2 linked regions of the Bombyx mori genome follow. The protein of the gene in region 1 purifies or fractionates together with the protein of each later gene. This does not show direct contact. Links are inferred from orthologs where the notes say so. Each region holds a gene or a part of one and is shown on either strand. Other genes may lie near its edges. The genes, in order: ribosome biogenesis protein WDR12 homolog and ribosome biogenesis protein BOP1 homolog.

Evidence for each region.
Region 2: the proteins of ribosome biogenesis protein WDR12 homolog (region 1) and ribosome biogenesis protein BOP1 homolog purify together in Homo sapiens (affinity purification with western blotting; 6 studies listed by BioGRID and IntAct, with this or other methods). This does not show direct contact. The link is inferred for Bombyx mori from reciprocal best matches to the Homo sapiens genes WDR12 and BOP1.

Annotation. Positions count from the first base shown.
Region 1 is NC_085114.1:8,374,182-8,378,620, reverse strand, and holds the start of ribosome biogenesis protein WDR12 homolog, read right to left. Parts: upstream 2,964-4,439; 5' UTR 2,671-2,963; coding exon 2,612-2,670; intron 2,540-2,611; coding exon 2,240-2,539; intron 2,129-2,239; coding exon 1,988-2,128; intron 770-1,987; coding exon 594-769; intron 265-593; coding exon 200-264; intron 1-199.
Region 2 is NC_085124.1:480,817-485,394, forward strand, and holds the start of ribosome biogenesis protein BOP1 homolog, read right to left. Parts: upstream 3,094-4,578; 5' UTR 2,705-3,093; coding exon 2,609-2,704; intron 2,522-2,608; coding exon 2,423-2,521; intron 1,780-2,422; coding exon 1,705-1,779; intron 454-1,704; coding exon 129-453; intron 1-128. UniProt on the Homo sapiens protein: Component of the PeBoW complex, which is required for maturation of 28S and 5.8S ribosomal RNAs and formation of the 60S ribosome.

The sequences.
Region 1 (4,439 bases):
TTCGATGACTCATTTGTTTTTATCGATAATGGCGTTGCTCCCGCGCAACATGCTCGCCGCCCTAGCCAGGCTATGTTTTATGACCCAAACTGCACGGACAAAATAATTCTACTATAGTCAATTGAAAAAATCAGTCCTATAATATCTATTATACACAAGTATAGGTGTTATAGGACTGCTTCATTCAATTCATACTCACTCTAGTGGTGCCGTGTTCTGGTTTACTTTTCTTCGTAGCTGGATGGTTTTCTTCTTCTGCTAAGCCTAAATTGGGTAAATATGCATATTTTATTTATTATGTACATTCAAAAAAACTAATTTAAAAATAACAACTAAACCAATATAATACACATTTGATTTATTCTCGAGGACCACATAGCTGTTTTTCCACTTGTCATCTCAAAGGAGACCTATAATATAGCTGTACAAACATTGCAACTAGGGTTTAAATCGATTCAATATATTTTTTTATTGCTTTTGTAGGCAGACGAGCATACGGCCCACCTGATGGTAAGTGGTCACCATCGCTCATGGACGTCAGCAATGCCTTCCAAAAGTCCTTTCACTTAAATTATTATTAAGTATCTACTCACTTGCACTCCAAAGACAAACATTGTTATCCCAGCTCCCACTTGCAAAACGGTTACCATCAGCCGACACAGACAGGCATTCAATTCCCTTGTCGTGGCCACGGTAAGTGATCATACAGTCAACAGAATTTCTAGGTACATTCCATACCCAGAGTATTGCTGTTTGATCATGAGATCCACTGAAATCATACATACCTACATATCATTTTTACTGGTGGTTGGACCTCTTGTGAGTCCTCACGGGTAGGCACCACCACTCTACCTATTTCTGCCGTGAAGCAGTAATGAGTTTCGGTTTGAAGGGTGGGGCAGCCGTTGTAACTATACTTGAGACCTTAGAACTTATAGCTCAAGGTGGGTGGCGCATTTACATTGTAGACGTCTATGGGCTCCAGTAACCACTTAAAATCAGGTGGGCTGTGAGCTGGTCCACCCATCTAAGCAATAAAAAAAAGTGTGTGTGTCCGCTCCGACGCACGACTGGAGTTTACTGGATATAAATATAAATTTGTGTCAGTTGAATACAGTAAAATATGGAAGTTACGTATTCTAGTGAGAATGATCCGGGAGTTGCGGAACACGTGGATGCGGTAATTAAGTAAGTCTATATAATTCACTTTTACAATTAATATATAAGTTGTCCATTCACTGATAGAAGGAATTGTTTATATTTAATAAGCTTTATTAATAAATGATTTGTAGCGGGTTATATTCGGGTATCAACCCACTAACAGTTGATACGTTCAGGAATCGAACCCGAACGGCGTCCGGCCACAAGCAAAACGATGTCGGTAAATTAAACGAAACAATACGAGAAATAGTTCTATATTACGACAACACGATACACTACAGATTATTAACAAATTAACGAGACACAAAACAAACGACTAACAAATATATGAAAATACAATAATGAGAGAAACGCGCGATCAGTACGAGGCTTTGTGGCGGACTGCCGGCGCAGCAGCCCGGCGTCACCTGCGATAACGCGGCCGCGCGTTGGCTCCTGATTGGCGCGCGCACGCATCACCATCAGCCAATCAGGCGCATAACGCATTTCGTGTGACATGCTATACTCTCTAGTACGATTTTGGTCCCCATAATTTTCATACCCCGGGCCTATATATGTAAATCGATTCTTAAGGAGTAAACTCCAAAAATAAAAAAAACCTTCTGTATACATCTTCAGGATTTAATTATTTTTGTCATTCTATTTATGATAAATTATCTATTTTAATTTTGTCAGATCATAACTGCTATGCTATATCTGTAGTATACATTTTTAATATACTAACTAAATAATACTGAGATACATTTAAATTTAACTTAAATTTGTCAATGTGACATGTTTTTATATCAAATATTTTTATCAAATTACTATCTATTCAATTTCTCACCTAACAAATGTAGCTTGATCACCCTGGAAGGACACCCATGATACTGCTTTTACTGGTGATGTATGACCTGGTATGGCTAGTTTGTGTTGTCCTTTTGTGCTCCATATATGTAAGCTATTGTCATAACTTCCTGATAGAATCCTGGATGAAATGAGATTTGTTATTTTACACATTATTTTGTAAGATTTTACATTTAACTTTTATTTATATAAATAAATAATTTGATTTTATCTAAATTTGTTTTCATCTTACCAACTACTGTGTGCCTGAACAGCTGACACCCAATCATCGTGCATTAAACAGTCCTGTGGAGTTGGTGCAGGGAACCTTTCCAAGTATTCGACCTCAAGCGTGTCCTCTGTCGATACCCCTTTTTCTTGTAAGTGCTCTGCGAGGGAGGCACAAAGTAACTCTCCACATACTAAGAAATCAAATATTACCGCCTTCTCGAACGATGGTGAGGTCTCCTTCAAAATTGCGTTGATTAAGGTATTAAGGTCCGCAGGGTGTACGTTACACTGGATAGCGTAAGGACTATCCGGAACTGCATATCTGCATAAAATATAGGCGGCTTAGAGCGAAGTACTTTATTGGACCACATGTCAAAACAAGTGCAAAACTTACTGTTCTTGTTTAGTTATAAATCTAACTTGCAATTGAGCTTCTAAAGCATCGCCAGACATTTTGTACTACAATATTTTAAGTTGTGTTAAAGTTTGGTATTGATATAAATGAAGACTACACAACCTGAAATGACCTGAATCTAAACTAATAACACGCCGGATTCTCATTGACAGTTTTCAGTTTTCACCAAACCTGACATCTGACAGTAGTAGTTCCACTTTTCCAAGTAAAAAGGCGAAGGTATCCTAAATTTTTAACGTTACATCCTAATCTTTTGTATGTTGTATATTTTATTCTCTTTCATGAAAAATGATATGGAGTGAAATGAAGTGAAGTTGATTAATTTGAGATATTAATCTAGACTTGCGCAAAACATCACTTGCCAATGTAATGTGATATGACATCACTTTTACGGACAGGTGATATTACTCGAAAACATTACACATCACTCTTAACATTACTCGGTGCGTTCAATAGATACTGTGACGACGAGTACATTGTATCTATACACCCGAATCATTACTTAAGTGATGTGTATGAACACATCACTTAAGTAATGATTCGGGTGTGTCATTACAGTAGTGTATTACAATACAAAGTATGAACTTTGTATTGTAATACACTGTTATATTACTTGACAGAGATTGACTTACTTAATAATATAATAATTTTATTTTTTACTTAATATAATTTATTGTGGGATGAACGGATTTCATATGGCGACTTAGACTGCAAATTGAGCTCGACAATAATGTTAATATACGAGAGCAGTAGATGCATTGTTTCGGCGCGATATCCTCAAAGTGCATCCAAGGAGGACTGTACTTTCATTTAGACGCCGTTCTTTCTTTCACTTATTAAACACGCATTAAAACAAATAATAAAACTATCTTCATACAAGTGCTTAAGTAATTCAAACACAGAAATTAATATGAAATATTACTAAACAATTACGAGCGACTAGCGATTTTACAAAAGTTGCGAATTAAAAATTAAGTAACTACTTGCGGGGAACTACTGGCTGGCCGCATGAAAAATATAAACACAAATACCTATATTAAAATTCAGACGTACCATAGGTATAAAAATGTACCTAGCGGCCAGGGCATACGGTTCAAAATCACTAGGAATAATTCCATGTCGCTTGCTCATTTATTTTGGTCGATCGGTCTGTCTCGCTCGCTCGGTTCCGTTCGTGTATTAAGCAACATTACACGACAAAGAAAGAAACATATTGAGTGATAGTGTGATGTTTGTTTCCTTCGCGTAATGTGTGATGTTGCATTACATCGTAGAGTAATATTACCGGAGTAATATCACTCGCATTACTTACACATGTCTATATTAATCAACTGAGATAAAATTAAATGAAGCAAGTTAATGTGGAATAAAATATAATCTCATTAAAATGTTGGTTATTTACAGAAACTTTTTCAGTGGACTTGTTGGAAGATTCCGAAAGGCTACATCCAACGGCTCTGTTTCGTTTTCCTACATTTATGCACTTTCACAGATTCTTAATAGCTTATAAACCTTCGTCATTACTCATTTCAACCTGAAGAAACATTAAATTAACAGCTGAATCATGGGTCAAACACAGAACACTCATAAGTTTTGAGCTTGATATAGGTACACTTTGTAGTACACTCTCTTAAATAAATTCTCAGGTAACGAATAACGAATGCCCAATTTTGACAAGTTCTTCAAAATTACTTCCTACAATAGATGTAGTGGTAACCACAACAAAAGTAGTAGTAGACTAGCTATTTACCTTAATTTTAAAGGAGTTAAATTTTCCCAATAATTATTCTTTTGCCACAATAATTCT
Region 2 (4,578 bases), on another chromosome or scaffold:
AGGGTGGTGGTACCTACCTGCGCGGACTCTCAAGAGGTCCTACCACCGGTAAAAATTGCTATCAGCTACCAACAGTGTAATTAATAACCCAAACCTGAGAACCTGAGATGTCCTATAATAAAACTTACCTTTCTGTTCGACAGGTTGCATTTGTGAAGATCCCTCAATGACGTCAGCTAGTCTATCCACACTGCCTTTAGAAGTGGTTCCTTTTTTATTTTGTGACTTTTCTTTTAAGTCTTTATCTGGTTTCTTCGTTTTAATTTTTTGCTTTGCTATTTTTTTCTTTTGTTTATTTTTCAAAGTCTGTTTTTCAGATTCACTGCCACTGGAGCCATGAGTGTGTCCAATGCCAGATTCTGCATCACTTTCTGTGTCACTATCTTCACTTTCTGCATTGTTATTATCATTGCTGTTCACAGATTCACCTTCAGCCTCTGAATCGGTTAACTCCTATAAGAAAAGATTTTGCCTAAAAGTTTTTGTTGATACTTAATGAAATACTCTAAAAGCGTTAATGCTTGAGTTTAAATTCATAAGTATCATATGAAGCTTTACAATTTAAAGCAATGGGACACAATTTAAGACAATAAGTTTTTTGTTTCCTAAAGGAACATTAAGAGCAGGAACCATCACAAGCTCCCCTATGAAAAACGAAAACCAAAAGCAGTCCCTCTGTGATTTCTTAACCTAGTAACTTCAACAGAAGTCTTTAAGATGTCAAGGCTCCAAAAAAGAACATTTCATTGCTGTTCAAGGCCAGTGGTGTGTGAGTTGTACAAGGTTACATCTAAAAGACCATGACAGAAACCTTGGAATCAGTAGTAACTAACAGGATCACTGAATTAGCTAGAAATCTTGAAAGCTTAAAGCACCCAACCAGTACTTATTTTGTATGCTACCATCAGCATAGTCGGTTGCTCTTGGTAGAGCAGTCGTGGTCGTGTGGAAACCTTGTTTATTAAAGCCTTGACAGATGTTTTCCATAGTTTGCGAGCTGAGGCTTGGCGCACGCACTCGTTAAGTGGGGTTTCAGTAAGATCTTTCACCTGATCAGACCAGCGCATGGGGATTCGTAGAATACCAGCTCAAGCAAATAAAATGACTGTAATTTAAATAAAAACCTCTTCACAAATGAAACATAAGAAACCAATTGAACAAATAAATCCAGGGTAGGGCTCTAACTAAAAAAAAATTATTTCAAATCTTGTCCAGAAGTAACCGATATCTGTAAGAGTACATAAAAACCACAACAACACCAACTTCAGAGCCCCGAATTTGCATTTCGTAAACCTCTTTGCGTTACAGACATATAAATATAATATATCAAACTATAACCCTATGGTAAGAATGGTCAGGCAGTATAATAATTTGGCTAAATGTCACGGTAACCTTGATATCTTTGAACTTAGACTCAGGGGATTTGTCGGATGTGTGAAGGATATCCTATTTAACAATAGCTAGTTATCAATATTTGTAATTTCAATTGTGTTTTCAACAGCCAAAGCTATGCACATTAATATGGTTTTGCTGAGTGCACATACTATTTAGATTGCAATCCAGATTAGATCTAGGTACTACTTGTATGATTTAGGTAGTATGTATTATAATTATTGTAATTTGTTTTGTACATCAATAAATAGTCTGCATTCTTTTTAATTTGGTTAATAGTATTATAGTGTAATACAAAAATAACCTACTCACAGACGATTCATCTGAAGCATATTCAACATCTTCATCTTCAAGGGAAGACACATCACTGTCCTTAAACAAAACTTCCTGAAATATTTTGAAATAAAGTTAGTTAGTTAACTAGAAGCTGGGAATGGACGAGAAAGTCACTTCTTGCACTGTGATATTGTACACATATAACAATAAAAGGATAAATTGTTGAATTTAACACACCTAAGTTAGGTGTGTATATGATATTATTAAAAGAAAAACATTTTGTAGTTTTCCACATCCAATTGGCCTTCCTGGTGGCCTAAAATGAGGTACCTAGTTTACTCATATTATTATATGAATATACCAAGTTTAAGATTCGGCAGTCAGATATCAATTTTTCTAAGGAAACTTGTAGCTCAGATTTAATCATCATCAGTAGAAATCTTGTAATCATAAAAAATCAAACAAACAATACCGATTACTGGTGACTGGGTGATTTGTAAGGCCTGCACTCATATGCAAAACCATTACTGTTACAAAGCTGCCATGCAGACAGGCTTGAAGTGGGGGACATTTATGATACAATAAAACAGAAACTTCAACATTGTCTTATTGTAGGTGGCACTAATGTTTGTTTACATTATGGCATCTGAATTAAGACTAAAGTGAACTGTGAATTAACAAGGCAATATTTAAAAACCAACTACGTTTAAGGTTGATTATAAATTAATTCCTGAGAAAGTAAAACAATTCTTACATCTTGATCCTGATCAGAGCCTTCTTCATTTCCTTCATGCTCGGAATCCGTAGAATCACCTTCTATATTCAATTCACTCAAAGTAAGCTCTTCTAGCCCCTGAAAAATACAGTGTAAATTAAAAAGAATAAATATAATATTGGTAGCAAAAAGTTTAAAAAGCTTTTTAACAAAGCGGCAACGTACTTTAGTATTAGATGATTCTTGTTCATATTTAGATTCAACCTTATTTTCTGTTTCTATTTTTCTTTTCAAACTTAACCCAGCTTTTAGAGGAGGCATTTTTATTAAATTAACATATTCAGCGATTTTGCAGAAACACGTGTGTTTGATTGCTGCGCTTTTATTTTGACATACTACTACGGCAATTCGGCATACATTGACATTGACAGTTGATTTTTTAAGGGATTTTATGACCTGGTAACTAAAACTTTTAAGTCATGCCTTGTTTTAATTTGGTAGTTTTCCAATTAGAGTATAATGCGACTCAGTGGCACACAATGCTGAATTATTCTGAAGCTTAATTGGAACGTGAATTAGTTTTCAAATGCATCAGCAGAGTGCGCTAATTTCATGATGATGATTCGATCAAGCCATTGCAATGTTTTCAAAAGTATATTCCTGTAAAATAAATTTGTTTACAGATTGGAATTCTAAAATGAAATTGTATTCACATTTTAAATGTGGAATATAAAAAAAAGTAATTATTTGTAACTTCATCCATACTTACATTTATTTTTTTAGTACAGTTTGAATTAACTTTGAACATTTCCAAGAAACTACGACGAAACGAAAGCCTTACAAATTTTTTCAACAATAAATAATATTACTAACGATAATATAAACAAAATTTCGATCAATTCCAACTTAAAGAAAAAACACTTGTCAGCTTTCTGAGACTGAGTTGGTATCGATTGCGAGTATCACGCAAGAGCAGTACTTTTGAGTGCTCGATTATGCGAAGCGTTGCTGTAGTTGGAACATTCAACGTTGAGCATCATGCCACATAATGCGCTCTAGTGCTGTAATTGGAAAACTACCTTTATATGCTTATTTTTATGAAAATGATAATAATAATATGGAGTGAAATAAAATGAAGATGATTAATTTAAGACATTAATCAACTGGAATATGGTTAGATGAGCTATCGAGGCATGACTCAACATTGAAGAAAAGTCGAGACAGTCCTGTTGTGATGAAGAAGTCTAAAACGTCTGGCAGTCGGTTCTGGTCTGTGGGCCAGTGTGTTGGTTCCGGAGTTGAGACAGTAGTCAAGAACTGTTTATCTACACTTTTATTCAGCTCCCTTCCACGTGTAGTTATTAATCTAGAGCCTCAATGCGAATGGTTCGCATTCCAGTCACCCCCAGCAATAAATCTGTAGCCCAAGCTTACAAAGTGGTCAGAAAAGTGTCACTTATTTTATGTTTTGGGAGACAATAAATTGATGATATATTAAAGTCTCCATTTCTGTCACTGACTGCTACTGTGGTAGCCTGGATATGTTCGGTACAGTAGTTTGGTTACACATGGTGTCTAACAGTGGCTTTAATTATCACTGCTGTCCCGCCGTGGGCTGTACCGTCTGGATGATTTGTGGAATAGATCTTATATCCTTTAATTCTTATCGAGCTGCTGGTCGTCATGTGTCTCTGAAATTAGGAGAATGTCTAGACTATGTAGACAGATCAGGATTTCCACTTCATCGATGTTGGGTGCCAAGCCATTGATGTTCCATGTAGTTATTTTTAGTGCAGTCATTTTACTAACTTAGAGGCTAGTACTGCAATGAGTTCAAGTAATGTACTCATTTGCTGTAGTACAGTAGCAATCTTTTGGGATTGTTTTATAAACATTTGTTCTATGACTTTATAAGAGTCTGGTTGATGGATTGTATTATTTTGATGTACCTTAGATCTGACTGTATAGGAATACGATTTCTGCTCATGTGCTTTTCTCTGCTTCTGCAGGGGTTCATTTTCCTCTTTATTCTGATTTGCAGATGTTTTATTATCAGTTTCTTTCTTATTTTTTTGAGGTTTATACTTAAATTGCTTATGTTTACGTGGTAAGTGTTGCGAGGTTTTCCTTGATAGGATTTACTTGTATACTTATCGTTGTATTCGAGTTTTCTCTAGATGAAAAATAATACAGGT